Tamandua tetradactyla: one gene and its partners. The protein of the gene in region 3 binds, or shares a complex with, the protein of the main gene of each other region. Links are inferred from orthologs where the notes say so. Each region holds a gene or a part of one and is shown on either strand. Other genes may lie near its edges.

Region 1 (6,932 bases), on a different chromosome or scaffold from region 3:
TGTACATGAAAGGATATAATTAATCCCATTTTGCAGGTAAGGATGCTATAGTCTAGAGAGGTTAACTGACTTGCTCAAGATAACAAAGCTTAAAAAAAAAATTAAATAGGAAAAACCTCAGACAGCTGGGCCTGAAAGTCAACATTTTTATTTCAAAGAACAGATCTTGGTTTTCTCTTTCCACTCTTTGCCTCATCTCTGATGAGCCAGAAAGCAGTCATCAAGAGATGGCAGAGATCTGTGGGTACGAAGTAATCAGAAGCAGGAGGCTGATCCATCACCAAGTCCCCACCATCAGACTCTGAGAGGCCAGCCAAGGATGTAAGAAATGTGCTATGACAGCGACAACAGTGATTGGCCACAATCCCATCTTTTTCTGAGGGGTTCCTCCAGTAATCAGAAAGCCAGAGCATACGGCCACTTAAATCCTTAAATTCGGAATATTTTATTACTCCTTACTAATAGAATAGTATTGTGGATTACATACACTATTCATTCAAATATTTATTGAGTAATTACTATACGCTAAAGTACAGTACTAAGACTGTTGAGATATCAATAGCAGTGATTAAAATCTTCCAAAATTAAATGGCAAACATTTACTGAGCCCTTTATAATTAGCATCTCCTTTAAACTCACAAAATTTCAAAAGAGGCGTCATTAGAAACCCCTTTCTACAGAAAAGGAAACTGAGGCACCCAGAGGTTAAGTAAATTGCCCCAAGTCATGCAACTAATAGTTTAAGATAGAATAAGACCCCAGGTAGCCTAAGTCTGTATCCAGTGCTTGTCACCACTACCCAATCCTTCCTGCCAGATCTTGCTCTGCTGGAAGCCACATCCAGTGACTCACAGAGACAATACTAATTAATTCCAGCAATCATTTATTGAATACTCACATGAAGCCCAGGGCCAAACGCTCACAACTTCCATGAAGAACTTGTTTTCATTGCCATTTTACAGATGAGGAAACAGAGGCTCAGAGAAGTGAACTAACTTGTTCAAAGTCACAGAGCTACAACTGGCACAAGCTGGCATGTTGCTTGCTGTACACCAGGCTACACTTACCGTAAAGGCTAGCTCACCCAACCCTCATAACAGCACAGTAAGTTCCATTACTACCCATTATTTGTGGTTTACCTTACTCAAGGTGGCACACTAGTGAAAGAGGCGAAGCAGGGATTCAGTCTAGCTTAAAGTCCTTGTCAAAACCCCTTAATGCTGACTCTTGGCTGTAAAGTGGCTATGCAAAAATTCAAAGCCAGGTCGGTTTAACTTTTGAGTGAGAGCAAGACCCCTGCCTTTTTTATCAACATGCCAAGTGGCTCTCAAAATTGTACCAGTGCAGATGGGTCCTAAGCACTCAAGGACTCCAAGGAAAAGGCATGTAAGCTGCATCTTGAAGGATAAATATTGGCATTTTGTAATTTAGTGTCTGTAAAAGCAATGGAAAGTGTTTCAGATTACATCAAAAGTGTTTTTTTTTAAATAGAGAATACTCTCGATGAAGGAAAAAAAGATTCTATTCCCTTTAATAGTGACCATTCGCTTAAAAAAAAAAGGTTAACAAAGAATAGCGGGGGCACAATTTGCCTTTCGTCACGTTTAACTCCGTTTACTCTGACTTACAATATTTACTTCCTCAATCTAAGTGCTGCAAGCAGGGTGGTGACCCAGCCTTTGGGACTTCTGCAAGATTCTCCGTCCCTGAGGTTCTAAAATACAGCATCTAGAAACCAAAATGAGCCGGGAGATTCCGACCGAGAGCTAGAAGGAACTGGCGCGCTGGTTGCTCGGATGGGTCCAGAAGCCGGCGGACAGACGCTGCAGAACCAGCCGGTGCCGCCGCACCCCATCCCCTCCTCACCCCCGCCCGGGCAAACTGATTTTTGACCGCACGAAGAGCGGAACCGGTCAGATCATAAGCACAATTCTGGAACATAAAAGGACCGAGAAGGGATGGGAATGGCGAGGCGGGGCTGGAGGGCACTGCCTGTTCCCGGGCCTGGTGAGAGCCGGCAAGTCCTGGTGCCCGCAGCAGCCCCGCGCCGCCGGACTCCGCGCCCAGACCGTGAGCCCTGAAGGGGCTGGCACAGTAGCAGGGCAGGACCACCAGGTGCCTCCAACGCCCCCGAGCGGAATCCACCGATGATTAATGACGATGTGCCAATTAAGTGATAGGTGGAGTGTTTCAGCAATGTTCTGGGTTTAGTCCCCCGAAATAAATCTTCAAGTGAGGCGAGGTGTTCACCCCCATTATACTGATGAGAAAACTGAGGCTCAGAGACTTGCCAACATAAAGGACAATCTAAATGAAGGCGATCGCTAGGCTGGCTCCTTTTATCTAGGAGCAAGGGGGCTGGGGTCAGGCTCGGGGCCCTCACGGGTCCCCGTCCTCTTTGGGCGGGCCAGCCCGGGCTGTGAGCCGGGAGGCCTGGCAGCGCCTAGGTGCCCTGGAAGAGAGAGAACACGCGGAGGGTGGCAGCGAGTCCTCCGGGCGCCGGGCTGCAGCAGCGTCGCACAGCGCAGCCCGGACCACCCGCGCGACAGTCGTGTGTCCGCCGCGCGCGGGGCCGCAGCCCTGGGCAAGGGTGCAGCGGGGACCATTCCACGCGTCCGCAGTTGCCCGGGAGCCCCGCACAAGTAGCGAGCCGCAAGCCCCAGCGAACGTCCGCTCTACCCCTCGCCTTACCGTAGCTGCTCCCCAGTGACCAGGACCTCAGCCATGCGCTCCAGTTCCCTCTGCTGCGCCCCGCCACTCCCGCTGGTGCTGCCGTCGCTGCCACCGCTGCCACCGCTGCCGCCCTCCTCCATGGTCAGGACTGCGCCGCTACCCCTATCTTGGTGGTCCGCGGCGGGTTCGGGTGTTAAGATTAACCTGCCCTCACAGCGGCCTCCCGCGCCATTTTTGTTAGGGGCAGTCCCGTTGCTCAGACGCTATTGGCTGGGGAGGGAATCCCTCTGGGCTGACTGAGGCACTAGGAGCCCTGGGCCCCTGGAGCTCCCGCAAGGGGGCGTGGCCGGAGCCCCGCGTGGGCAGAGGGCGGGGCCGAGGGAGGAAAATATAAACATCTGGGCAGGGCGCTGCTTCTGCGCTCCGCGTGTTGGCAGAGCTGGAACTGGGTGAGTTCTCCTTCCTGTATCTACAAAGCTCATGCTATGGGTCCTACAAGTCTCATGCTCAGACGGAAAGGTTACCAGAGAAGTGCGAGGATATTTTTATTACTTTTCGTCCCCCGAATTGTCAGAGAAGTAAAATTGATCGCAATATAGCCTAATAGTGAATAAGGGAGTGTATAAATGTCACTTCAAGTCATGGAGAAATTCCGCATGCTTCTTGCTCAATCCCCCTCATCAAAGAGAGTTACATTATGGGGTAATCAATAAAGAATGTGGGCGTGGAAATCAGATGGACCCGAGATGCAGTGCTTCACGTGTAATTATCTGCCTAAATATTTATACTCCTCAACTTCTTCCTTTTCAAAATAAGTGGTTGTGTGGCTACCACTTGCTGACATCTGCTGCATTATAGGTGCTTAATAGATGCCTCAGGTACACTGTTAACTTGTTTAGTTCTCACAACAACAACAAAATGAATATTGTCCTGAGTTTACTTCAGGAAACAGGCTAACAGAAGTGAGACAACGTGTCCAAGGCAAGCAGATAGTAAGTGCAAGAAGGCAGAGTCAAACCCAGGCTATGCTGGCTTCAAAATTGTTTTCTTAAAGGATAATCTCTTAAAATGAGAATACGATGGCATTGACTATCTCACAGGGATCAGATGAAGACCAAGGAAAGAACTAGCGTCAAATGTCCTGTCATTCTTTCCCTGCAGGGAGTCAGAGAAAGGCAAATGAGTGCTGATGGCAGTGGTCATTTGCGGTAAAGGTTATCTGTGCAATGATTTCTTATGCAGCTTTTGACAGTTTTTGTATCTATTCGCTTGTGTGCCTATTTACAATGGGTGAATATGAAGCTACTTTTTATTAATAACTATTTTGAAAGACATGATTTCTCAATTGCATATACATAGTGGAAGTCTAGAGAATAAGAATGAAAATGAGAGGGACTTTGAGAACCAACTTCTTTGTACAATTTTAGCAATTCTGTTGTCCAAGACTATTTATACCTGCTATCCTGTGGGCTTGTTTTATATTGTGGGTTTTGTGTTCCTTTTTTTAAAATTATTTTTTATTTTTAAAGAAAATCTCAGTAGCCCTTTCCAACACTCTCCAAAACTACTTATAGTAAAAACTTAAAATTTGCAAATATTTGTTGAGCATTTATTCTTTGCTTTACATGGTGCTAAGCATTTTATTTCTAGTATAAATTAGAGATAAATTAAAATTTACTCTTAGAACAGCCCTGGGAGACAGATATCATTATTTCAATTTACAAATGAGAAAGCTTAAACACAGAGATAGGAAGTTATTTGCCTAAATGTCATATCTAGAAAGTTGATTAGGCAGCCCTTTGAACTAGTTCTGCAGATCCTCAAGGACACTCCAGAAAGAGAAAAATGTCCGACTTCCTTGTGTATCCAACAGAGGCTGTACAGGGCAACTCTTTCAGCAAAAGAAAGTATCTAAATTTTCTAATTTTTAAAATAAAGCATAGTGGAAATGCATGTCAATTGAGACATATTTCCAGATGACTGGCATTCTAAGAGCCTCACTCTGCACAAAATCTAAAAATCATTTAACTGAAGGAAATACCCCAGAGTTACTGAGATTAACAGCTGTCTTTTGCACATATATTCTAACCCTGTAATTTTAGTAGGTAGTATATTAAGAGTTTTCATGGACTTTATATCAAATATGTACTTCCTACCCTGCTTATATCATTTACTGACTTTGCAACCTTATGCTAGTTACCTAACTTCTCTGGGTCTCAGTTTCCTATCATTAAAATAGGAACCATAATTCCTGCTTTATAGGTATGTTGTGGGACTTGAATGAAATAACATTATGTAAAGTTCCTCTTTATATAATATGTCCTTGATACCTATTTTCTTTAACAACACTACCGCTTTTAATAATAAGATTAAGAAGGAGGAGATAGAGGAGAGAGAGAAAAAAAGAAATTCTTGCCAAAATAGTTTCCATTATGAGTTTTTGTTGTTAGACAAAATGCTTTTTCTAAATTATCAATTTTTTAATTTAATTTTAATTTTTTTAAAATTATTACTGGAACTTCAAAATGAGGCACAACAAAATTTAAGGTGGGAAAATACCTGATAAAACTATTCCAACAGGAAGTAATGAGTATGATTGATTTTTGCTGCTTTACCGGAAGAAGGTAACCTTTTGGGGAAGATATGATTGGGAAATGAAAGAATTGGCTTGATGTTTTAATCTTTCCTTTGACATGTCGAGACACACCATGCTCCTTTAAGTTGAAGACAGACCCTTTTTCCTAACTTAAGGAAAGATTAGTGAGCATTCTCCTCAAGACATGTGGGTACCAGTGAGCCTTGGAACAACTGGTCTCAGAGTAAATTGTCATCTATGGATACTGTTGGAGAGAGATGGCAATTAATCCAGCAAGATGTTCTTAGAAGGGCTGAGAATTATGACAGACTTCAGTTTGATTCATGGCTCCATATGGGACGATTCATTCAATTTGAGCCTTTCCTTCCTGCTGACCCCATTCACTTCCTTTATGCTTTTGGGCTGTTTTTGGGCTTCTGTCTAATGTTTCTCAAATTTTCCTAGGAAGGATGAGTTTTCCGTATATGTATGTTTTCAATCCATCAAAGACTGATACTTTTGTAAAATATGATTGTGGTGGTTTGAAGCAGTATGTACCCCAGAAAAAAAAAACATGCTCATAATTTTAATCTATTCCTGTGGGTGTTAAATCCATTATAAGAAGAACCTTTTGATGAGGTTACCTCAGTTATGGCTGCACCCCACCTCAACCAGGATGGGTCTTTATCTTATTACTGGAGTCCTTTATAGGCAAAATTAATTCAAACATGAGCGAGAGAAAGCGCAGGAAGCAAGATGCTAAACCAGAACCCAGAGAGACCAGGAGATGCGGTCCTGTGACTTGCCGTGGCCCTTCTAAGAACTTCTTGCTGGGTTAACAGGGAAAACAGGATCACCAGCAGCCAGCCCTAGAATGCCAGTCTTTGGAGACAAAGCATCACCTTGATGGTGACCCAATCTGGACATTTTTCTGGACCCAAAACTGCGAGCAAATAAATTCCTATTGTTTAAGCCAAACCATGGCATTTGCATAAGCAGCCTAGGAAACTGAAACAACAATAAGAGCTAAATAAAAAGACATACAAAACACCACCCCCGATTTTTTTATTGTTAAAGTCAAAAGACAGAAAATAATTTTGTCAAATTGCTATAAAGATTTCTAAAATAATTTCTCTCAGCGCCAGTACTGCCCTCATCGTGGACAGTGGCTGCCAGTCTGGAGACCACACTTTGTGCAGTAATGCTAGTTCACGCTTCTAAAGGGTGGACGCAATGTAAGAAAAAGATGCACTTGAATCAGTATATGTGTCAAAGAATATGGTCATCTATGAAGCCTAATGAGCTGCCATTACTATTGTGTGGTCTCTCCACGTATACCTTGATTATTTTTGCCCAATCTTAAAGGACTAAGTCAGATCCCACCTTCTCTTTGACCTCTTCCTGGACTCCTTTAAGCAGTTCATTACACCTTCTATAAATTCTTATGGTATCAGAGGATTTATATTGTTATTAACCATAAATGATCCTCGATTCTCCCACAGCCATGATTTTTATGAATGGCAAAGTTGATTTAGTGATAATCCTTTCCAAATATTTCTACTGACATATCCTTTAAGAAGGGAACTTTAAAAACTAAATGTGAGGCAACTGGGACTTCAGAGTCTGGGGGCCACGGGAGGTAGGTAGAAGCCAAGGATTACAGCAGCCAGCCCTAGAATGCCAG
Region 2 (8,008 bases), on a different chromosome or scaffold from region 3:
GGAAGAAATATCTTTCCCTGTCTTCGTAGATGGACAGGTGAGAGAGCTCTCATTCAGTCTATCCACACAATGATTTTAGAGAATAGCTCGAGGTGGACGTGCAGGGACCTTCTGATACTTTTGCATGTATGTTGTCTTGGGCATATGAATGTGGCCCTAGGAAATCCCCCACTTACATGGTTCCGAATATCCCTTCTTCTCTAGGAATTTCCTCGCGGTCAGGGGCACTGCCCTGTGTGTCCCACAGCAGCAGTCCCCTGCCCAGGCAGCGCAGCTTGCCTGCTCACCCATAGTGTTCTGCCCGGTGAGCCTCCTTCCACATGCAGGACAAGTTCTGGGACAGCGAGTCTCTCAGGCCACCCCCAGACAGACTGGCCCAGACACACCTGCTCCCAGGGTGTCCAGGAGGTCAGACTGCTCCCTCTGAGGCTGGGACCGGGGCACTGGCAGCCTGGGCAGCTCTGTGCTGAGCTGGTGAGGGGTGGGGGGCGGGCCAGCCAGGGTACCATGGGGTTCTACCAATTTCAGTACCTGTTTTCTTGATTTGGTGCTCACCCTGTTTTTGAGGCCCTTTAACCGTCTTCTGGAGCTTTGAGAAAGACGTTTCTGCCAGTTCTTTTTGGTTTTCGAAGCTTCTCTGTTGGGGGGGCGAGCCCTGAAGCATCTCACTCCGCCGTCTTGTTCGGGTGGGGCCTCTCTTAACACGCTATCTGCAATGGGCACATGTCCATCTTCTTTGCTCCACCTGCAGGGTCCTGGGGGAGCAAGGAGGGCGATCTTGGAGTTTGTGACCTGGGAAGGACACTTGTTTTCATCCTGCTCCACAAAGAATTTCCAAGGGCTGTGGACAGCGGGGTCAGATCCAGGAATGACTTGGAGGTGGACTAACTCATCTGTCCAGACTGATTGGCTAGAGGGTCCTCACTGGACCAACAGGGAATGTGACCCAGACACATTCCCCCCTCCCTCCCTCTGCTCTGCTTTCCACCTTGCTCTACATTCTAGGTACCCCAAACAGGTGCTTTGTCATCCCGGACAACACAACCCCATGTGGAGAACAGCCTCCCAAGAGGGGAGGCAAGGGCTGAGGTAAAGGTCACATTTCACTGTCTTCTCCCTGGAAAATTCTTCAGTATATGCAGGACTGAGGCTTTACTCCTGGTCTCTTGTCTTCATGCAACACGCCCAATTCCTTCTCTGCTCTGCCTTGCTGCTGTCCCTTTAAGGCTGGGACGGTGCAAAAATCCTCAATTCTGAAATAAGAAATGTGGCCAGTGAGTGAAGTTTATTGACTAAGGGGTCACTTTTCACCATAGTCCCCACGTGACTCAGAGGTCATCCCTTATTTAAAGCAGAATAACACTGTTGATTTCTGCTTATCAAAATAATACACGCTCATTGTAAGAAAAAAGTTATAAATAAAATAGAAAAGTATACTGTGGAGAGTGAAGATCACACATACATCTACCACCGTATTTTTAGAAGACGACGTGGAAAGTGAGAGAGACAGACTTGTCTTCTCGCAACCTCGCATTTCCCACTGGAGGTGATGCTCAGGTCCCATTACTTCCCTTTCCTTTCCCTTCTCACTTCACTGTCACCAAAACATCTGACCTGCAAGGGTGTGGTGGGGGACGGCTTGGGTTTTGCTAAAAACAGAATAATGATGCTCGGAGAAAAACAAAGTACTTTATATCTATTTTGGTTTCTTTTAAGCTAAGCACAGATTTCTCTGGAAGGGATGGAGCCGGCCGGTCTCTGTCTGTGGAAAACAATAGCTCAGCAAAGCACCCAATTTTCTGCAGTTGTCCGACCTTGGGTTTCACTCTTGATTCTTGATGATGACAAAGCACACTGAATGCCCTTGATTGATTTAGTGTAGAAACTGCAATATTGGAGGATGGAAAACCGGTGCTGCGTGCAAATGGAACACCTAGGCTGCAAGGGTCTTCCGTTTCGGGGAAAGATTAGGTCAGTTGGAGTGGGCCAGTAGCAGAGCTTCCAGGCTGTGAAAATCCAGTCCCCTTTGACCTTCGTCCACAAATTGCTCCTTACATTAGGTATTTAATCCCATCCTTTCTGCCCAGTACCCCCTCTCACCTTCCACCCCCCCTCCCATATTTACCCTTGACTTTTGTTCCATTTGATCAACACACTCAGGTTTTGATATTTGTCCTCTTGCCCACTTGGCTGTATCTCTGGCTTCAGGGTGTCTTTCATGTAGCAGGCAGAGTCTGAGTTTTAGGGCTGGAAGGCATCCTCCCGTCTGTCCTCACATGGTCAGGACACATCCCCCTCTCTGAGCAGGCAGGTCAAGGGCTATTCTGATATTTCAGATCAGAGCTGAGCCTAGAGGCCCCTCCCCTTCCCCAGTTCCCTCCACATGGGGCCCCTGCCCACCATTGGCAGGATGGTTTCTACACCCCTCTGCCTTGCCAACACTGCTGTCAAGTCTTATATAAAAGACTATTTCTTTCTAAGACTCAGTGGGGCAGGTGTCATGAACGACCCTCCCCCATTTCCATAGCTTGAATCAGACCAAGTTTCATGCATTTTTTTTTTTTCTTCAGATTTGTAAAACTTGTTGAAACTATTTTGTCTCGAACCTTTGCGGAAAGCAGATGTCTTTGCTTCTGAAGAATTGGAGACACTGGAAGTTGGAAAGGCAGACCCAAGTGGCCAAGCCAGGCCCTGCCATGGTGATGGGATCACCCAGCTGGGAAACATCAGCCCTTGGATTTTAGCCTGTTGTTGTCATAGGTGCTTCTGTGTTCCTGAAATGTGGAGCTGAAGGGTTGTCTGGGACTGGAATAGAATCATCCGGGACACGTGGAATGAGATTTCTTTCCAATGTCATGATGTGATGAAATGACTCAAGCTCATGTTTGAATCTGTAGGTTGGAGGCTGGGCTGCCAGGAGCCCCTTTCTGGGTTTTACACAAATGACAGGATTTTGTATCTGAAGGGTCCTTAGAGAGCACCTTCTTCAGGTTTCTTGTGTCACAGATGTGGAGACTTTGGGTGGAGACAGGCAGAGGCTCTGCGGAGTCTGCAGGTTTCAGTGGGTGGGCTGGAGACTCGGCCTGGGCACTCACCCCCTCCTGGCCTCTTGATTCTGGTGTCACATTGTACAGCAGGAGAAGAAGTGTTTTAGTCTGAAATTTTCAGTGTTTTCTTGCTCTGCTTTGCCAGGTGCTTTACAGTAAAAAAAAAAATTTTTTTTTGGTTCAAGTATTTATTGAGGGCCCACATGTATTTGGAGCATTGAAAGGGACCTTAGAGAGCAAATTGTCTAATGTCCCCAAATATGGCTGATTTAATCTATCATTGGGGTTATCTGATTGAAAAAATGCAGATCCCATTTCTCCAACCCCTCTTTCCCAGTTTAATAGGTTCAAGATAGAGCCAGGCATCCTTATTTTAAGTATTTTCCCAACTGCCAAGTTATGCACTATGGGCTCATCTCTTAACGTCACTTAGTGTGTCAGACAAGGTAAGTGGATTGATTCCCCAGGGTCACATGTTAACAGGTGGGTACACTGAGCCTCAGTCAGACTGAGGGGGTTTGCTCAGGTTTGGAATGGACAGGTTTAATCTGGGGCTCCACTGCAGCACAGGGTCCTGCTGGAGGGAGCTGCCTGAAGCCCAGAGGTGCCACCTTCCCTGCTGTCCTCAGCCTGAAGACAAGGCAGGGGCCAAAGTTATTTTGTTGCCTTCTGGTGAGAATAGGGTCTTCCCAAGTTCCTGCTCATGATTGTGGGGATACTCTCTGCCAAAACGTCGTAGCCCCCCTTTAAGGATTGGTGAATTTGCCCTGATTTCTAATGCGAGAACTGGGCTTAGTGGGGTATAATAATGAAACAAATGCAATGAGAGTAGATTGAGTTTGCAAATTTAAATGTTTGCTATGGGTAAGAACAATCTTGCCCTCATCTGCACTTCCACCGTTGAGAGGAGAACATGCCATAAGGATTTGGGGGCGGACAGCCACATTGTGTCAAAGTCCTAGGAAGCCACCAACAGGGTATCCTCGAGAGCCTAACCTGAGGTTTTCGGTTAAGAAAGCAGGAAGGGTTTGCTAGATTTCACTCTAGCCACAGAAAGATTATTGCTAATCCTTATTGAATGCTCACTATATACGAGGCATGAGTTAATTTTATCCTTCCAAGCGGGGATTACTATCCCAGTATTACAGTTGTGGACACAAAGACAGCTAGTTAAGGGATTGGCCAAGGTCACACAGATGGAAAGTGACTTGGCCAAGATTCGAATCCAGGTGTGTCGACTCAGAAGCAGAGAGGAAGACCGAGTGTCTGCTCCGTCCCGCTTTAACTAAAGGTATGTGTGTGTCTCCCTAGACACTAAGTTTATTGAAGGCAGGGACTGATCGCTGCATTCGGCTTTATATTCCCCACTGCACTTAATAACAGTTTCCTGCGCATTGTAAATAAAGAGTGTTTATTTACACTGAAATTGAGAAATAAAATAATCTGGGAGGACTGCCTCAACGCATAGAAATCCATAGCTTTTGGTCTTTGAAAAAACAAAAAACTGCTCAGAAAATATGGTGGAAAAAACAAAAAATGACCTATGAGGTATTTTTTTTTCAGTTGTTTTTCTCTGAAGAAAATTAAAAACAGAACCTGCTGGTCTGGGTACTGTGGCAGATACTAAGTACAAAAGATACTAATTTTCTTCTGAAATATTATGGATTTTTTTCCTGAAACTTATGTTGCCTTCTTTTCAAAATCTGGAAGAAACAAGGCGGTCGGTTCCTTTAATTACACAAGCATGTAACTTGGGTTGCAATAATGGATTTTCTTTTTTCAAAATTAATTAACTGAATCTGGTTTCATTTCTGGGAGTGACTGTAATACCATGCGGCGATAAATGAAGAGAGGCCGAATTGTGGTAACCCAGGCAACCAGGCAGGAAATTCTTGTCTTGCTGGATCTAGAGAACTAGAGAAGAATGCTTTAAGGAAGTTTGGCCCGTCAGGCACGCCATAGATTGCAATGCATTCTGGGTCTCGGCAACATGGCGTCCTCCTTGATGTGCTGATGAGAGGAGTTTCACTGTCGCTCCAAACCAGAGGGCAGAACTCTCCAAACCCAATAAGCCCACGTTACCGTTTTATCCGCGGGGCCGTGTCGCCCTTTCCTTAGGACTCGTTTTCAGGCAGGATTGAGCCAGGGTGCCGAGGGCCAGGACCAGCCAGGCCGCGCGGTCCCGGGGCTGAGGAACCGGCCGCAGGCCAGCACGATGGGCCGATCCTGGCTCTGGTTGCAGCAGCTTAGGCGAGTACGAGACCCTCAGGGCTGAGAGTGACTGGAGGAGACCTGAGGCGCCCAGAACTAATAGCTCTCGGCCGGAGATCTCGTCCAGTCGGCGAACCGGCACCAAGACCGGGGGGCTTGCCTGCCCTCCGATCTGCTGGGGCGGTGGAGGCCGAGAGCAGGGTCATCGTTAGGCCTGAAGTCTCACGCCTTTGACAGCTCGGCTCCCAGACGCTCGGAGGACGGTCATTCTAGAAGCAGCCAGTGGCTTGGGGTCTGAGGGTGTGTGAATTTGTGTGGAGCTCCTTGGGCTGCCCCGTTTGCCACCGGCTTTTCCTTCGACTTCCCGCGCAGAGTTAGAGATAGGGAGCTCAGACTTTTTGCTTGAGTAAGGGTCTCTGCATACTCTCCATTCATTTCTTTTTCTAACCCCCCCCTTTTTTTTTCTTCTTTCTTTTTCTTATTTCACCAATTCTGGTACACGCTGATTTTTAAGGCTGGAGGTTTTGGAGCGCTTACTGCCAAGGACTCCCCCACCCCCTCCTTCCCTGATGGAGTCCGAGATGCTGCAGTCGCCCCTTCTGGGACTCGGGGAGGAAGATGAAGCCGACCTTACAGACTGGAACTTGCCTTTGGCTTTTATGAAGAAGAGGCACTGTGAAAAAATCGAGGGCTCCAAATCTTTAGCACAGAGTTGGAGGATGAAGGACCGGGTAAGTAGGTCCTAACCGAGTCCCTTGGACCTTGGTAATTTTGCCAACGAGGAAAGTTCAGCCAGAGGCGTGTCCTTGGGAAAGCGCCGGTATTTTTTCCCAGCCACATGTTACAAGTCAACCAAAAAGCAAGAAGCATTTCCGACTCCAATGTTTGGTTGAAAATGGGAAAGATTGTTTTGGTTAGTAATTAGTGGGTAGCGTTAATTCAATTCAAACGAAGTTCTAATTCAGCTAGTAAAAGTTGAGCAGATTTGGAAATACAGTATTGTAAATATTTATACACTCTTTACTATATCTAGTGCTGTTGGATTTAGAGAAAAGACAATTTGGGATATAAACCAACACTTGGACCCATGTGGATAGTCTACTTTTGGGGGAATAGGGGGTGGGTTCCAAACTGGGTAATTACAGAAGTCTAATATAAAACAGTGTGCTAAGAAACAGGATTACTGTGAAATGTTCAGCTAGTAACAAATTAATGCAAGGTTGTTTTAAAGTTACAATGAGTTTCATTATAGTCCTCTCAAAAGTTTGTCTAGAATCTAGACTCATATGGTATTGTGGTTGTTGTACCATGGAAACAGAATTTCTTTAATAGTGGAATTTAGCATATGATGGTTGGAATTTGGGTCCAGGCGTTTTTAGTGGGTCTGGGCCCCCATGGTGCTGGAGTGTATTATTCATTGGCTCGCAAGCAGCTGCTAGGAAAGAAGAAAGCCATTTTTGTAGAATGCATAGTTAATCAACCACATGTTTCCTGGTCTTCAAAGCAAAAGGGTGGAACCATCTCATCTGTGCACACTTGTAATTTGGCCTTTTGTGATTTATTTTCTCCTTCAAGGGTGCCTTTATTATTTGAACTGAATTTCAGTGGTATAAAAAGGGGAAGTTGGTGTTGCAATACAATATGGTTTGTTCTAGGCTCAGTACATGTTTACAGGAGGTTATTGTTTTTAATATCTGATGTTAAACATGTAAGATTACTCTATTGTAATTCAACCAGTGCTTCAGTTATTGATTTGGTTTATTTTTAAAAGATTAGGAAAACTTCTTTCATCCAAGAGTAGCTTAAAATGTACAATAAACGGTCATTAGGAGAAGAAGTCTGTTGTATAAACATCTTTAGTACTACTTACATAGTTTAAAGCTTTTGGGATTGTTGTTCATGTATGAAAAGAAATTTATCTTAAAGCAACTCTGTCTAATCTTTTTTTCCCCCACATTCTATTTGGAGGGCAATTTTATTTCCTTTGAAATGTGGTTCCTTTTACTACCTTAAACCCACGCTCAAATTGTTCAAAACTGATTGATGGATATATTTTGATATATATTAATTTGTGAATGCCGAGCATTCCCTAATAAGCTTGTCATAGATCATTAAGTAAAGAAAAGTTGTGAGAGTCTGAGTAACTATTGAGTTTGCCATTCAGAAAAGAACCAGGGGAGAAAGTTTGCTGTATCTGACCTTTGCAAATTGCTGAATAATGACGAAAATCAACAGCTAACAGTTTCTGTTACATTTGTGAGAGGTTTTAAAGAGTCCTTGAAGTCTCTTTCCTCTAGTCAAAAAACTCGAGGGGGTCTTTTCAATCCACTGGACTAGAATTAGAAGGTAGCATAAATGAACAAAGCAGGTCAGGTATGAGAATAATACTGGCATAAGTTCAAAGATAACATTTGGCTCAGTGTCTTGTAGATTTTCAGTGTCTGGTAGATTTTTTGGAGAATGGGAATGGAGGGTTCTGGAGAGCATATTCCTATCTAAAGAAGGCAGCTGGGCCTCAGCTAGAATTCTCTCTCGTGTGCATTATCTTTTTTTCCTTCCCACCCCTGCCCCCTTCCCTCTCCCCTTCCCTTCCTGCCCCCTATTTTCCTCCTCCCCGCTTCCCTCCTCCTTCCCCTTCCCCTTCCCTTATTTTTAAATATTGGAACTAAATGAGATATTACAAATAACTATGCAGTGCAACACTGCAGGCCAAACAAAACCACCTATGGACTGATTTTTTAAAATTAATT
Region 3 (7,652 bases):
ACAGTGGACACAAAAATAAGTGGGGCTGTATTCCTAGCTGTTATTGTTATCAGAGACGACATGCTTACCTATGGCCAAGATGCCACCTTTCCTCTCATTGGCATCTGAGCTGGAGACCAATTCAAAAATGTGATGGTTCAGCTGATCATAGAAGCGAGTGGACTCCTCTTGACTCATCTGCAAAAGAAGATGTGCTCAGAACAATTTCTAATGTCTTCCTGGTTTGGGTTGGGGGCCTTCCAAAGATTAGGACCTGAGAGGTTTTTAGCAGGTACAGTTTAAACCAAAGAAGACAAAGTTACTGCCCATTTTTACAGCTTTAAACTGCAGCAATGGAACTCATAATTGGATCTGTTCATTTACTAAATCTTTATTAATTATCAACTTTATGGTAGGAAACATCTTGTCCTAGGTTCTACCTAGTGCTTGGCGTACAAGGATGAACAAGACACTGTTGCTGACTTCATGTAGAGTATTTACTTAGATAGCTCCAGGTTATCAACTTCCCCAGCCACTATAATCAGGAAGAAAGAAATGAGGGTCTGGTACGTGGCAGGAAAGACAATAAATTAAAAAAGACAGCCTCTACTCTGACTCCAAAAATGTTACCACAAACACAAGAAATGCCACAGACATGTGAAACCACTGCAAAGGAACCTGTATAGTCTATGGACATTACAAGTTGGTCGTTTTTCCAAAACAGAATCTCTACATTTCCAAATCCTCCTTAGCTGTCAAAAAGCATCTAAAACAGTGATGGTAATTTAGCCCAAACACCCCACAATGACTGGTCCCAAATCACAGAAGCCCCCAACCTCTCGGAGCTCCATGGTAACGTAGTGCTGGAGCTCCTTGGCAGCTTTGGCCCTGGTCTCCTCATTGCGGCTCTTCAGGCCACTGGCAAACTGCTGCAGAACGCTCACATTACTGGAGGTGGTGGTAGCTGTGGTGGCCGCCGCAGGTCCCGTTCCAAGCATTTTGCCCTAAGGTTCTTTGGAGAGAAGCTTTCTTTAGTATTCTGAATATGAACTATGGGAATGAATTTATTGGCCCTAGGCTCCTCAACATAGATCTCCACTCCCCCCGGCCCCAGGTCAGGTAGGGGATTCTAAGAGCTGGGAGACTTCACTGAGGAAAATGTAGAAAGCCTAGAAAACATTCACCCAACAGTGAGTAGCAGCATAACACAGTGGGTCAAAGTGTGTGCCATGGAGCCAGACTACTTGGGTTTAAATCTACTTCCAAGATTATATACCTAGAGGAAGATACTTAAAATTTCTGTAGCTGTTTCCTCATTTACAATATGAGGATAATAGTACCTAATTCAAAGGGTTGATGTAAGGATCAAGCGAATTAATACAGGTTAAAAAAAAAAGCAGTTAAAATGGGGTCAGACACACAGTGATTTCTCAATAAGTGTCAGCTATTTTTATCATTATTACCACTATATACCTGGCACAGCACCAGGTACTAGAAGTGGGGAGGAAAGGAGAGAATAAAACAATGAGTAAGCCAGCCCCCTTCCTCAAGGAGTTTAATCTAAAAAGGGAGATTATTATTCTATAGCAGTGCTGGCCAACAGAAATAAAATACGATCCACAAAAATAATTCTAAATTTCCTAGTAGCCATATTTCAAAAAAAAAGTGAAAAGAAACCAATGAAATTAATTTTAATATTTAATTTAACCCAATACATCCAAAATCTCAGTTCAACATGCTATCATTATAAAAGATTACTGATGCAGGTTCCATTCTATTCTGTACTGTCGCCAAAATCTAGCCTGTATTCTACAATTAGAGCAATCTCTATTTAGACTAACCACATTTTAAGTGCTTGGTAGTCGCCTGTGGCTGGTGGCTATTGTACTAGATAGTTTGGTTCTATAGAACACTAGCTTCTCAGATGTGAACTAAAAGAGACTGATTAATTCTTGAGATCATTCACTCATTCTTCAGTGAGCTTAAGATCCAGTGGTAAATAAAGACAATCAGGCAACCACAATAAAGTGGTCATAGTGGGACTCCTGACAGACTCCTACGGGAATAACACATATTTACCTATCTTAGTTACGTTCAAATTATATTATAAAACCAATTACTCAAAAAATTTTATTTCTGAATGCATTTGTGACACGCAGAGGAAAAAACAGGGAATAACTGCCTTTGAAAGCTTTTAAATACTCCAGTGCCAAGAAGACTGCAAAAGGAAATTAGCACCTTTTACAGAAGAGAAATTCCAAGGATCCCTCATGAGAAAAGTACTACACCGTTTGCGTGTGCGTGAGTGTGTGGCGGTGGTGGGGAGGGGTGGGCGGCTGGCAAACGATTCCCCATTCTCAAGAAAGGACCAGTGTATCTTCATACGGTCTAAGGCCCACAGGCCATCTGCTCCGGGTCGAATTCAGTCGTAAACTACTCGAAGTCAAGTGTCTTGACGTGGGAAAGGCAAAGAGAATGAAACCCCAGCATGGAACCGAGCTCAATCCCGGGGACTGAGTCCCTGAGAAGTCTCTACGGTGGAGAACAAGGGGCTGTCACTGACGGCGTCCTCTCCGAGGCAGGGGGTCCGGGATTTGTAGGTGGCTCAGAAGGCGTGTCTGAGACCACAGGGCAAAGAGCCCCCAAGGGCCTTCTGCCGCACCGGAGCTGATGAGCAGGCCTCGCGGGTGCCTGGGAGTCAGGCGGGCTAGAGGGTGCCGGGGGTCGCGCGGGAGGTGGGCGTGCCTCGCCGGGTGGCGGTCAAGGGCCCAGGTGGCGCCCAGATCCGAGGTGCCGGTACTAAGGAGTCCCCACGTTCCCGACAAGCGGCTTCCCGGGACCCCATACGGACCAGACTGGCCGTGAGTCCGGACATTCCGCCACGTTAAAAGAGTCGGTGCCAGACCCCAGACTCACCGCGCGGCTTCGGTCAAGTCCTCAGCTGCCGCCGCCAGCGCCGGTACCGCCGTTTCAGACCCCCAATCCCACCACCCGCTTTCCCCGCTGTCCTCTAAGCCGGGCGGGAGTGAGGGCGGGAGTGAGGGCGGGCCCCCAGCCCCGATGACCAATCGACAGACGGAAAAAGAAGATAGGCTGGAACACAGTCCAATAGTAATGAAGGAGGTATGACGCCTCAGGAGCCGGCTTCTCCGGGGGGCGGAGATTCTTCAAATAGACAAACCAGGGGGCCAGTGACAGGCAAAAGGAGTCTGAGGTCCGCTCGGGAGAGCCAATCGGTCGTGAGTTGACTTCGTCACTTCCACTCAAACATCCGGTGTATCACTGCTAAAATTCCCTTCTGCACCGGGGATGTGGCTGTGCCGAGTCTGTTCTCTTGGGTACTGCGGGGCGGGTCCAAGCGGCTGTAAACTGAGGTTCGAGGCTGTGCTCTGGATAATTCCGAGCCTGGCGTCTCAGAATTTTCGCCCGCGCTCTGCTTATGGCTCCATGAATTCTCTTCTTTAAATGTAATATGCATTTGAGAACGTTTTAAGTTAGATTTTTCTCGCTTTTCAAAAATTTTTTAGCTCAAAGATCATTCTGAGAACTTATAACCAGTTCTTAATTAAATGAGCTACTCAAATTATTTCAAAGCAACGTTATCGTTTTAAAGAACTTCCCAGAATTCAATGGCAAGGGGTGCGGAGGTGGTTCAGGGGTACAATGCTTGCCTCCCACGCGGGAGACCCCGTTCGGATCCGGCCAGTGCACATCCCGCCATCCAACCCCCCAAAAAATTCAGTAACAAAAATGGCACTTAATTATTATTATTTTTTTGTATGCTGTATTGTGGGGGTCACATTTCATTCTTTTTCCACGTGAGCCTCCCGTTATTGCAGCACCATTTGTTGGATTTTTTTTTTTTTTTTCTTTTTTGGGAAGTGCATGGGCCGGAATCCAATCGGGTCTCCTTCATGGCAGGCGAGAATTCTACCGCTAAACTATCCTTGCACCCTCTTAGCGACATTTTTCTTTTTGGGGGCATGGGCAGGCTCCGGGAATTGAACTCTGGTCTCCGGCTTGGCAAGTGAGAATTCTGCCTGCTGAGCCGCCGTTGCACCGCCCCTTAACTACTTTTTAATCATTAATAATTTCTGAGTAGGTATTAGAGTCACCGTGTATACATGCAATGGGATATTATTCAGCGGTCAAAAGGAATGAAGTTTTGATACGTGCTATGAGATGGATGAACTTTGGTGAAAACACGATGCTAAGTGAAACAGCCGGACATAAATACTGCATGTGTTCACTTTTGTGAAATATCTTATATGAGATATCTATCTAGAAATAAGCAAATTCGTGGAGACAGAAAGTAGATTAGAGGTTACCAGGGGTTGGTTGTGGGAGAAGGGGCGTTATTGCTTAATGGGTGCAGAGTTCTGTTTGGAGTGATAAAGTTTTGGTATGGACGGTGACGATGGTTGGTCAACTTGTAAATAATTAATATCACTGATTTGTACACTTAAAAAAGGCTAAAATAGCAAATTTATATACATATATGTATATATATAACTACAATAAAAATTAAGTGAAAAAGAATGTATTCACTGTAGGAATATCAAAATAAAAATCATTTATCAGTGAAATTCACGCACTCACTCATGTCCCTTTACTATTTATTCTTTTGGTTTCTTATGTACCTTCTAGAGTATCTTTATGCAAATATCAGCAAATACAAATAAATATTTTTATTTTACCCCTTTCTAACTATATCCATTGTTCTGCACTTTTTATCTTGAAAATGTTTCCATGCCAGTATATAGAAAGCTTCCTTGTTTGTCGCTGCATAGTATTCCATTATGTGAATACACTGTAATTTATTTTCCATCTTCTATTGATAGATGTTGTGTTGTTTCCAGTTTTTTGCTCTTACAACTGAAGCTGCAGTGAATGCCCTTGTACATATATCATTTTGTTCCTGGGCGGGCGTACCAAGATAATTTCCCAGAAATGTGATTGCAGGATCAGAGGTACATGCACATGTAGTTTCAATGGAAAGTGCCAAATTGCCCTCACTAAGAGTTGTGCCAATTTTCACTCCCACCAGAAATGGGAGATTTTTGCCACTCTTAAAATGAAGCAAGTCCCTGTTTTTTTAACTAACAAAGATGGTTTTATGACAGCAGTAATCAGTGCATTTGTAGATCTCTTTTTAGTTTACAAGGAGCTCTTTATTTATTAAGCACTTAAAATGTATTAGGCATTTTGGTAGGCATTGTAGGATAAAGTTTGGAAGAGGCTTGGAGTCAGCTTAAATCTGCTACTTAAATCCAACACTTACTGTTTGAACCTGGGCACAAATAATTTCTATGTGCCTACTTCTTTATGTGTAAAACAAGAATGATTATGGTACCTACTTCTGTAGACAGTGTCATAGGGGTTAAATGCTAATACCTGTAAAATGCCTACAACATTATCTGGTACATGTGATCAGTTCATAATTGCTGAACTGTAATTCTTAAACATTACTTAAGAGGCAGGATGGATTGTTCCCATTTTATACATTAGTAGTCTGAGATACAGAGAGATTGAGTCATATAGTTGGTAAGTGATGGAGCCAGGATTTTAATATATTAGCTTATTTCCCTTGTCTGATGCAGCAATGCTTCAGACACTCAGGTTTGGCCACTGATCATTCTTTCATGTGTGTGTGTGTGGGGGGGGGTGCATATATTTGTCCGCAGCCATCTCGTTCGGCTTCTGATCCCCGGCCGGCGAAGGGAACAGGAGGGGAGAAAGAGACAGGCGCAGGCAAACCGACTCGAGTGATAAACACGGGTTCGAGGCACGCAACGGTTGTGAGCACAGACCTTTACTGGAGTTAAGCTTGCATTCTCTGTTACAGGTTCCACGCGGGCCTAAGCACCCCGCGGGGAGACAACCTCTGTGCGGCCGTCAGGTACGGCTCCCTGTGGGTCGTCTCCACCCACCCCGTCCGGGTAACCTCTTATATACTGTGCCCAAACCCAATAGGTTAGTGCCACGTATACAGAGGTGATTGGAAGATAGGGTTGGTGGGCGTGTGCGTCATTTGCGGAAGCAGGATGTGAGCGCCATCTTGGCTCACTCGATGGGCGGGGGGAACTCTAGAGCAGGCTGCAGCGTGTCCACTAGGCCAAACCCGGAAAGCGGCTCTCTACATATATTCATCTACAGGGTCAGCTTCATGGGCTTGAACCTGTGAAGTCACAGTGCTCTGTCTTGAAATTCTTGATGATATTTGAACAAGGGGCTCCACGTTTTGAACATTGGGTCCTGCAAATTATGTGGTCCATCCTGGGTACATATATATTATGTGTATTATAAATTTTATTGCTATAAAGGATGTGTAGTACACAATTTCCAATAATAATAAAATATACAGTGCTCTTTATTGTGAATTCCATAGAGCCAATTGATTCTCACAGAATGCTCTCCTTGATATAGCATAGCCCACTTAAAATGGTTGAAACTGATGAATGAGTGTAGTTCTGACATGAATGTTGGCCGGTATTTCCTTTTATATTAACAAAAGGAAAGTGAAACAATCAGGAAATATGTTGGGCCTTCACTCCTTTGTCAGTGACATGAATGATTTTTTGCTGAATTGGATAATAGCTTTCCAATACTGGAAGAATATTTCCTTAAACTTTTGGTGGTTGTTGGGGATTGAATCATGTTCCCCACAAAAGGCAAGTTCCGGTCCCAGCCCCTGATCCTGTGGGCGGGAACCCATTTGTACACAGGACCACTGAAAGTTGTGGCCAAACTGATGAGGATGGGCCTTCATCCCATATGGCTGAAGTCCTCAGAAGGAAATCAGACACAGAAGAAGAAGCCACCAGGAGCTCCCAGAAGCTGGAAGTCATCAGAACCCCAAAGAGAAAGAAGACACGGCCATGTGTGTTGCCATGTGAGACATAAGCTGAGGAACCCCCAAAGGTTTCTAGCCAGCCAGAAAATACTGACAAGGGAGGAAGTGAGCCTTCCAGTCTCGGAAACAGTGAGCCAATAAATTCCTGTTAAGCCATTGCAGGGAATCTGTTTTAGCAGATGGAAACTTAAACACTGCTATACACAGTGTAATTACTACAGACTTCATACACTCTGGAGTTTAACATGCTTTTTTTTTTTTTTTTTTTAATCTTTTCTGGTGCATGGGTGGGGAGCCAAACCTGGGTCACCTGCATAGCAAGCTAGAATTCTACCACCGAACTACCGGTACACCCCAAACATGCATTATTAATATTTTCTCCATCCCTTTCTTAAGCCTAGATAATCAACAAAACAATTATCGAGCATTTGCTGATTTGCACCGTGTAAGTATTCCCAGTGGCAGATTTCAAGCTACTTACGGATGTCACTGGATGAAGAGTTGAGAACAGATGTGCAGTAGCACATCATTGTATTGTGTTTCCATCATACAGATACAGTAAGTGTAAATAACCCGAAGAACGTATGTGATTCAAAAAAATTAATGAAATAATTAGGAAGTGATGAGTTTTGAGTATTTGTTACCTTTATTGTTAATATAATTTAATTGGAAGTTTGTATAATTTAATTTTTATTAATGGCTGTGTTTAGTGGACCAGCTCACAAAGTTCCTGAAGATTTAACGATTGGCTCTGGCGAGTCAGAGCAGCTACAGACATGGACCATAAGCTTCCAGAAGGCAGGCGATGAAGACAGAGCCG
Region 4 (7,274 bases), on a different chromosome or scaffold from region 3:
CTTCTAGTAGCATGTTATGTATTAGACATCTCTTTTAAAAATTAAATCTAATCTTTTCCTTTAAGGTATAACGGTAACCAAGAAATTTACTACTTTTCAAAAAGAATTTTGTGCTACGAAGAGAGTATTAAAAAAACAGAAAATTTGAAATGTTTCCAGTTTTGTGATTTTTTTCTGAAAACATTAAAATTATTAGTCACCTATAAAACCCTTAATATGTGCACATCTAAATTTTATGTATGCAGCATTTTTTCGTTTATTTAAAAATCTTCCAGATGAAGTGTCTCAGTGGGTTTTGAAACCATTTGCTAAAACTTTATGAATCTTACATTTCCAGTTTACAAGGAAAACTGACAAGAGAATACAGACATTTACTTGCCAAAGTAGATCAACGGCCCTTTTTTTAAAACTGATGGATGGCACTGAAAAACCAGTGTTAGAATTTAGAAACTGCTTAGTTTCCATTTTTAACCTTGTATTTTGTGAGATATCAGCTACTAAAGCCCAAATCCAAATAAGCTCTTTAAACTGGTCCTCTGAATTACTAGCTCATAAATTATTTAACAAAAAATTAAAAAATTAGGAAGTATATTCAGTCCTATTGCTGTTTAGTTCTACCATTAATATAGCAAAATCCAAAATTATTTTTTACCATTTAAATTTAATCTTTATGTTGTATGTTCTGCTTTATAAAGAAAATAGATGTACATGTATTGGGGTACATGCTCAAATGTTCCTTTTTTAGTAATGAGATGTACAAACAAGTCTGACAGGTCCACTGGTTAGCAGATTATTAAAATCAAATGTTTGTAATTGTAGTTTAGTAATGTCAAAAAAAAAAATCCCTAAAATAGTTTTCCTAAGGAAAAAAAACTATATTGGTAAGTAATACAAATTTGCTTTAGAACCATTAATACAAGGAAAAGAAGGATAAAAAACACTAGAAATAATCCATGTTAAAATTTTAGTGCATTCCTTTGAGGATTTTACTTTTTGGATATTTCTGCATCTTTCTTTTTCACAAACATAAGTATATTCTTCATTTAAAATTGTATGCATAGACGACCTTTATACCTTACAGAATTTTAAAAACTAAAATTTAAAAGAACTTTTGGGACAGAGATTAAAATTTAAATGACTAATACTGGGAGGTTACTTTCTGCTGTGAGCAAGGCTGAAACTTCATAATCAACCCTGTGTAGGATTATAAGATTTGTTTAATTTAATCCATTCACTGTCATTTTCATGGCCTTTATCTAGATCTCAAATGTGTGGCTTAATTATGTAGAGAAGTTACCAAGAAATAGATGACTAAATTTTGCGGTTTTCAACTTGCTTTATCTTTATATGTCCTAAATAACAAGACAAAGAGATTAAAGGGAACTAAGATTTCGGTAAGGCTTTTGTTTCTGTTCAACATTACAAGTGTATCTGAAACTGATATTGTATGGTTTATAATGTAAATTATCCTGTGCCCAAAAGGATAGACAATAGACCCCAGAGAGTGATTATTAGTAGAGTCATCATATCTTTGGAATCAGTTTATCTTTTAGTGGGGGGATCTTAGACCTACTTTCATACAATTTCTTTTTTTTTTTTTTTTTATCAATGACTAATGTTATGAGAAAAACATTCATTGACACTGTACACAAAACCTGGTTGGGAAATGATAACTAAGAAGAGGAAGTAACTTTCTTAATGACCAGATCAGAATCAAAATGACACAGAAAATTGGAGAAGTAGTAAGAGGCAAACAAAATAAGTAAGACATAGTGTGGGCTAAAATAAGAAAAACAAGTTTCAAAAAGAGGAATAGCTAACTATTCTCAGTAACACAGAAAATAATTTAGGGATTAAAACAACCAGCAGACTAGGATCAATAATGTTGTGCTTGCTATTGTTTAAAAGGCAAAAACAATATTGTTAATTGTATTCCTTACTAAAAGAGATGTGTTCTCTAAACTGCTTTCTTGTTGGGCATCTCTTTTCACTTTAAGAACAAATGTGAAGACCTTACTTACCCACTCAAATGACTGAAATAGTTAACAGGAAAAACTAGTTTCATTGTCAGATTGAAGAAAGAAGATACTTTTTTTTCTGCCCTAACAGATGAAGTAAATGAAGAAAGGGGTGATTGAATAAATAGGAACATACAGTTATAAAGATGAAAACCTACTGGATTCAGGCTCTCAAATCCTGAATCTCAAGTACTTTAATAAAAAAGTGGATCAGTTGTACTCTACTTTCATGAAAGACTGAGAGAATGAATTTAAATTGTATTAGGAAGAAGTTAATTTACAATAGATATAAAAGATCAGATAAAAAGGGCTGATTGAAAATTGGAACAATTGAATTTCCATGGATACAGATCCATTTTTTTTTTAAGTGGTGAAATGTGATACATGGAAGGAAGAAATATAACATTTTTAATATTCTGGTCAGATCTCAAGTTTTACTGCCTAATGCAGTAACTAGAGTAATTTGCACAAGGACTTGCAAAGTCTAAAAGAGGGGGCAAGTTTTCTGTTACTGAAACTTCTGGTACTGTCAGGAGGCATTTCTTTTGAAGTATGGTAATTGTGTTGCATCTTTTAAGTGCACATGAACTGCAGATATCTGAATGCAATATCGGACTGCACAGACAGAGGGTTTCTTAAGGAAGCAGGGATCCTGTTTTATTTTCCTGATGCTCCTCTATGCCGCTTTTTTCTTTTTAAAATTTTTGTTTATTGTACAAGAGATATATATTAATTACAGAACACTTCAAAGATAGAGATAAACAAGGACTAAAAACGCATGTGAAATTTCACAATTGCGGGTGGGTGGGGGGAATCAATGGACATTTTGGTATATAATTTCTCATATTTTTCGGTATATATATGTAATTGTATATTATGAAATATACTTATATGTATTTTGAACGTTTATAAAAATCGTAACTTATATCTTTGTAATCTCTTTCTTGATTTAACATCATACACAGTATTTCCTACTACATCACTTAAAGCCTGCCGAAATTTACATAACCAATCCCCTACATTTAGTCATTTGTTTCCAATTTTCCATTATTATAAACAACTGCAAAATCCATCTCCCACATTGGATTTTAAAGCAAGAAAAGCATTGGAACAAGGAGGAAATCCAGGGCATCTACTCATCCAACATGTTTAATGAACACAGGCTGGGAACTGGGAAAAGAGAGGTGGCTAAGGTCTCCACCTCAATTAACTTCCAGTCTCATGGAGTAGAAAGAAAAACAGTTGAGGAACAGGAGGCAAGAAAATGCCTCTTTCAAAAGTGAATTCAGTTTGAAAGAAAGTTGCGGGATCAAGGGTTATCTGCATATATATTGGATAGCTAAAGCAGTTTCTACCATTAAATAGCCCAACGGTTAATAACTATTAGGTTTATGTATAACAATGTCAATACGCATCCACAGTAGCCACTGCTCTAGAAGCTACACAGACAGTAAACCCGGGCACAAGGCTCCGCAACCTCTCCTAGGATGTAGAAAGAGAGGAAACGCCCTCCCCCCGGCCTGCTGGCGCTACCGCGCGCCCGGGAACAATCCCACCGCCGGAGACGACCACCCTCCTCTCCCGGCTCCTTCGCCACTGCCTCACGCCCTACGCTAGGCAGTCAAAAACAAGACCTCCATCCAATGATTCCGACTCGGAGAAGCCCTGAGTATGGTTTTGAATGCTCGCACGATGGTCAGAGCGAAAGGGAAAAACAAACTTTGTTGCACGTTAACTTGGTTAGAGGAAAGCGACTCTCGGGAGCGATTTAAGTGAGGTTAAAACTGTATGCAGTGTTTCTGAGAAACACCGTTTTAAATGAAGAATAAAGGGGCGAGATTGTCTATCCCAGGCTCGAAGGCAACAGAATCCGGCAGGATGCTTTCAGCAGGTGGCCAGTCGGCCGCCTCCCAACCTCCTCCAACTCCTGCTCGGTTTTGACCGTACGGTTCCGCGGCGGCTGGGGGGAAAGTATTCTCCACGCTGCATATTCCCATCAATGGGATTCCCCTCGTGGGAAATGCCTCTTCTTAGCAACACGCGCCCTCGAATTGCCGGACCGGCACCGCCCTCTCCTCATCCCGGGTGGGCGCTGAGAGCTGCTCCGAGACGCGGGGCCACCGGCCACGCGCCACCCAAAGACGCTCAGGCGAGCAAGGGGCGGAGGAGATGCAGCCGGGGCGGGGAGGGGGAGGGCGGGCACGGCGCGCGGGGAGGGGAAGGGGTTCTCGCGCGATTGGGCGAGGTTTCCGGTGTTGTGACTGAAACCCGTCAATATGGCGGCGATCGGCCGCGGCCGCTCGCTTAAGAACCTTCGAATACGAGGTAAGCCTGCTGCAGCCCTCGCCGCATGCCGTTCGGCGCCCGCTACCCCTGGCACTTGCCTCCCCCTGGTCCTGGGTGGAGGGAGCGAACCGGGGCGCTGGCTGTATCCAAGGCTGCCGCCGCTGGCCTGCGAGCGAATCCTAAGTGGGTTGTGTGTCTGTGTTTCTCGCAGGGCGGAATGACAGCGGCGAAGAGAATGTCCCGCTGGATCTGACGCGAGGTAACTCACGGCGCCTCGGGCTCCCGCGAGGGCGTGCTGGTGGGGAGGAGTCGGGGCCGGGGGCAGGGGCCGGGGCCGGGGCCGGGGCCGGGGCCGGGGCAGGGGCGGGCTCCCGTTCGGGACCGGCGGGTGCGGGGGCAGAGCCGGAGCCCCGCCTGCCGGCCCGCGGGAACCGAGCCCGGGGCCGCCTCTCCGGACCGTCCCCATCCCCCTTCTTGGTGCTACTTCCCTTGCCCCTCGCCCTCCTCCCGGCCTCGGGTGCTGCGGTTGCTGGGAGCCCCCAGAGGGACTCGGCGGGCCGGTGACCCTTTAGATTCCCTGAACGCCCCGGAGCGTTTTACCCCTATCCCAGAGATCGTACAGTTGAATCCTGGGGGCGGCCGAAGGGAGGTAGAGTTGTTATTTAGGTTGCAAGAGGATGTCTGAGGGAAGAGCGACCACATCCTGCCCTGCCGGTCCCCCGGATCAGAAACTGGACCTTCTCAGTGCTTGCTGATTGCGTGACTGCTTTTCTCTTTGCCCACCGCCTTGGGGGACCCCAGTGTTGATAACTCGGTATTGAGTCCTGGAGCGGATCCTCGCTGCTAAGTGTATAAACTGTATTCCCTCCTGCTTTCCTTTCTCGGCCGCTGGGACAGTAGTTGGCAAAGACTGCCCCCTTACCCTGATGCAGGTTCATTGTTTACCTTCTGCAGTGGAGATGGGTTTGTTTACACCTTCTGAACTGGGTAAACCCCGGTTATATTTTTAAGGGACTAATCCTGCTACAAGTCAGTATTTCTATTACCAGTCGACGTACTGGAGTTTATTCGACGATGTCTTGTTGACAATTTATTAGTAATATACATGATTTTTCTTTTCCACAGTAAACTCGATTTCGTTTACTGATTCCAACATTCCTATTTCATACCTACTATAGCTTAGTGTAATCTGATTCAGGTACACAAATCACTTTCCGTTTTGAGATCTGAAAAAACACCCTAGGAAGTTATTAAAAAAAAAAAGTCGTTGTAAACATTCTATATGAAATAAAAGTTTTTGCTTTTTTACCCTTTGTTGTACTTGACATAATTATTCTTATCTACAGAATTTGTTAGAGGTGGGATTATTGTTGAGTCTCATATCTATATTTAAAGAATAATGAATTATCTTTTATTTTGTTTAGCATAATGTAAGATTACCCTTAGAAACTGTAGGATTAGTTTCTTTGAACTATAAGAGTGCATTTCTGTAACGATATTTTATTCTGAAAGTTCGAGGATTAGGTTTCTGTAAACATATATCCTTTACAGGCAGAAGAGTTTCTAAAATACAACATAGTAGGGCTTAAATAATAGAAATGGGGATTAATTAGATCGTCAGTGTACTAAATCAGAACATTTTTTCCAGCAGATAGGTTTTGAGAATTAGTGTAGAGATGTAAAGTTTTTGACTTTTGTATGACAGTTTAGAAACTTGACTGTATGTGGTATATAACACACATATGAGAAATATGAATAAAATATATGTAGAAAAAGATTTCCTTATAAACTTCCTAACAAAATGAACGTAATTTCTTCAAGAGCAGAAACTTGGCAATCCAGTCCTGTAACAGATGTAGTGTTAGTGATTTAATTTATCTATGAATGTATGTTTTTTAGATGGAAGTGCATAGAGTACTTATTAGGTAGATTTTATTTGTGCGTTAAAAACTTGCTAGGATGTGGTGCTGACTATAAGTAATGACTGTGTTTTAAGCTGAGTTTGCCGAGGTTTTATATATAGTGAGTTCTCTGATTAGTGCCAGAATTCTGGGTTGTACAAGATTATGGTTGTACAAAATTATGTAGGAATTTGATTTGATGCTATTAGTTTGCTGCAGTTTCACTTAAGTATACAGATAACTCTGTTTTTACTATTTAAAATGGTATATTCCTTAAGCAGTTTATAAACTCCTACAATGTCCATAGATATTTCCAGGGTAATATAAACTGTGCAGAAAATGCTGTTTCTATTTGCCCTAACAATATTTACTTCAGTTCGTAGTAAAATATACACAGTCAATTGAAACTGAAGGCAAAGGCAATATACAGTTAAGTGTGAAAGGTTATATGAGGACTGTATTCCTAAATTCTAAGGAAATTTAGAATATAAAAAGTAATCTGAATTAGATTCATTATATAGTGACACTATTGTTTAAACAAATTGTTACTCTGACACACATTTCCTTGTTAAAAGAAGGCTTATGGATCTAACGTGAAAGTTCATGAGAAATTAAACTTTAGGAATAACTTCAGAAAAGACATAGTTGGTTGGAGCTAAAGAGTAGCAGTTTTTGGATTAGATTACAATATGTAATGATGGCTTGGCTTACCTTGCCAAATTGAGGTCTGGGAGAATTTCTTTGGTTTTGGTACTAAAGCTTCGTACTGGGTGCTGGTACTGAAACATAGTATTAGTGCTCATAAATAGTGTACCTTAATTAAAAATTGTTAATTGAAACCTTTTAACCTAGTTTAGGAACTTTATTGTCATAGATTGTACAATTTATTGGTAAATGTTGCTTTCAGTTTTGTTTAGACAACTACCTAATTTGTGAAAGATCCTGAAATTTGCTAATATATCATTATTCTATTTTGCATGCTCACATCTATTTTGAAATCCAAATGCTTCCCTTAGCCACTTCCCTTCTAGGAGAGACCATTTTTTATCATTTCAGTAGTGCATTTGTT

The links.
Region 1: the proteins of MTOR (region 3) and DEPTOR are in contact, whole or in part, in a cryo-EM structure (PDB 7PEC), measured with the Homo sapiens proteins. The link is inferred for Tamandua tetradactyla from reciprocal best matches to the Homo sapiens genes MTOR and DEPTOR. Residues at the interface, in NP_001373429.1 of Homo sapiens: Met304, Gly305, Phe306, His1494, Cys1498, Trp1501, Gln1525, Asp1527, Ser1528, Glu1530, Glu1531, Cys1534, Met1535, Ile1536, Arg1538, Arg1547, Gln1554, Leu1556, Leu1559, Gln1562, Cys1563, Lys1566, Arg1683, Leu1685, Asp1686, His1687, Lys1710, Ile1711, Phe1714, Gln1715; in NP_073620.2 of Homo sapiens: Arg54, His56, Leu57, Lys58, Thr59, Tyr60, Pro61, Val101, Arg116, Lys119, Asp121, Gly122, Thr123, Phe124, Lys131, Ala132, Arg135, Arg138, Lys142, Glu177, Gly178, Glu179, Glu185, Cys304, Asn305, Lys307, Gly335, Asp336, Ala337, Val338.
Region 2: the proteins of MTOR (region 3) and RPTOR are in contact, whole or in part, in a cryo-EM structure (PDB 6BCU), measured with the Homo sapiens proteins. The link is inferred for Tamandua tetradactyla from reciprocal best matches to the Homo sapiens genes MTOR and RPTOR. Residues at the interface, in NP_001373429.1 of Homo sapiens: His597, Thr600, Pro632, Val644, Ser645, Gln646, Thr647, Ala648, Val649, Ala653, His686, Ala688, Gln689, Glu691, Met721, Asn722, Pro723, Ala724, Phe725, Met727, Pro728, Phe729, Arg731, Lys732, Leu734, Ile735, Leu738, Thr739, His743, Tyr771; in NP_065812.1 of Homo sapiens: Phe278, Lys282, Cys283, Ser285, Leu286, Pro288, Gln380, Ala381, Asp383, Leu384, Asp387, Glu411, Gln412, Thr414, Ala415, Val418, Trp419, Thr421, Met422, Arg427, Asn428, Glu431, Gln432, Lys973, Ile974, Asp979, Leu980, Glu981, Ser982, Lys986.
Region 4: the proteins of MTOR (region 3) and RICTOR are in contact, whole or in part, in a cryo-EM structure (PDB 6ZWM), measured with the Homo sapiens proteins. The link is inferred for Tamandua tetradactyla from reciprocal best matches to the Homo sapiens genes MTOR and RICTOR. Residues at the interface, in NP_001373429.1 of Homo sapiens: Arg1028, Asp1032, Lys1068, Leu1069, Asp1108, Asp1109, Tyr1110, Asp1150, Lys1187, Asn1196, Val1200, Gln1207, Asp1210, Val1211, Cys1214, Arg1215, Lys1218, Gly1219, Tyr1220, Thr1221, Leu1222, Ala1223, Glu1226, Glu1227, Asp1228, Leu1230, Ile1231, His1234, Arg1235, Arg1238; in NP_689969.2 of Homo sapiens: Leu204, Arg205, Gly206, Asn209, Arg245, Asp247, Val248, Glu249, Glu251, Arg252, Leu254, Thr258, Asp259, Phe260, His261, Tyr262, Arg263, His264, Ser265, Pro266, Asn306, Gly308, Ser311, Gly314, Val315, Cys317, Ile318, Pro319, Glu345, Ile347.

What each region holds. Positions count from the first base shown.
Region 1 is NC_135332.1:164,301,588-164,308,519, reverse strand, and holds the start of DEPTOR (DEP domain-containing mTOR-interacting protein), read right to left. Parts: upstream 3,006-6,932; 5' UTR 2,814-3,005; coding exon 2,692-2,813; intron 1-2,691. UniProt on the Homo sapiens protein: Negative regulator of the mTORC1 and mTORC2 complexes: inhibits the protein kinase activity of MTOR, thereby inactivating both complexes. DEPTOR inhibits mTORC1 and mTORC2 to induce autophagy.
Region 2 is NC_135332.1:72,769,553-72,777,560, forward strand, and holds the start of RPTOR (regulatory-associated protein of mTOR), read left to right. Parts: upstream 1-5,000; 5' UTR 5,001-5,558; exon of another isoform or gene 5,559-5,772; 5' UTR 5,773-5,827; coding exon 5,828-5,989; intron 5,990-8,008. UniProt on the Homo sapiens protein: Component of the mechanistic target of rapamycin complex 1 (mTORC1), an evolutionarily conserved central nutrient sensor that stimulates anabolic reactions and macromolecule biosynthesis to promote cellular biomass generation and growth.
Region 3 is NC_135328.1:214,144,004-214,151,655, reverse strand, and holds the start of MTOR (serine/threonine-protein kinase mTOR), read right to left. Parts: upstream 3,016-7,652; 5' UTR 2,896-3,015; intron 992-2,895; 5' UTR 978-991; coding exon 816-977; intron 178-815; coding exon 69-177; intron 1-68. UniProt on the Homo sapiens protein: Serine/threonine protein kinase which is a central regulator of cellular metabolism, growth and survival in response to hormones, growth factors, nutrients, energy and stress signals.
Region 4 is NC_135335.1:89,140,771-89,148,044, reverse strand, and holds the start of RICTOR (rapamycin-insensitive companion of mTOR), read left to right. Parts: upstream 1-4,268; 5' UTR 4,269-4,294; coding exon 4,295-4,343; intron 4,344-4,515; coding exon 4,516-4,563; intron 4,564-7,274. UniProt on the Homo sapiens protein: Component of the mechanistic target of rapamycin complex 2 (mTORC2), which transduces signals from growth factors to pathways involved in proliferation, cytoskeletal organization, lipogenesis and anabolic output.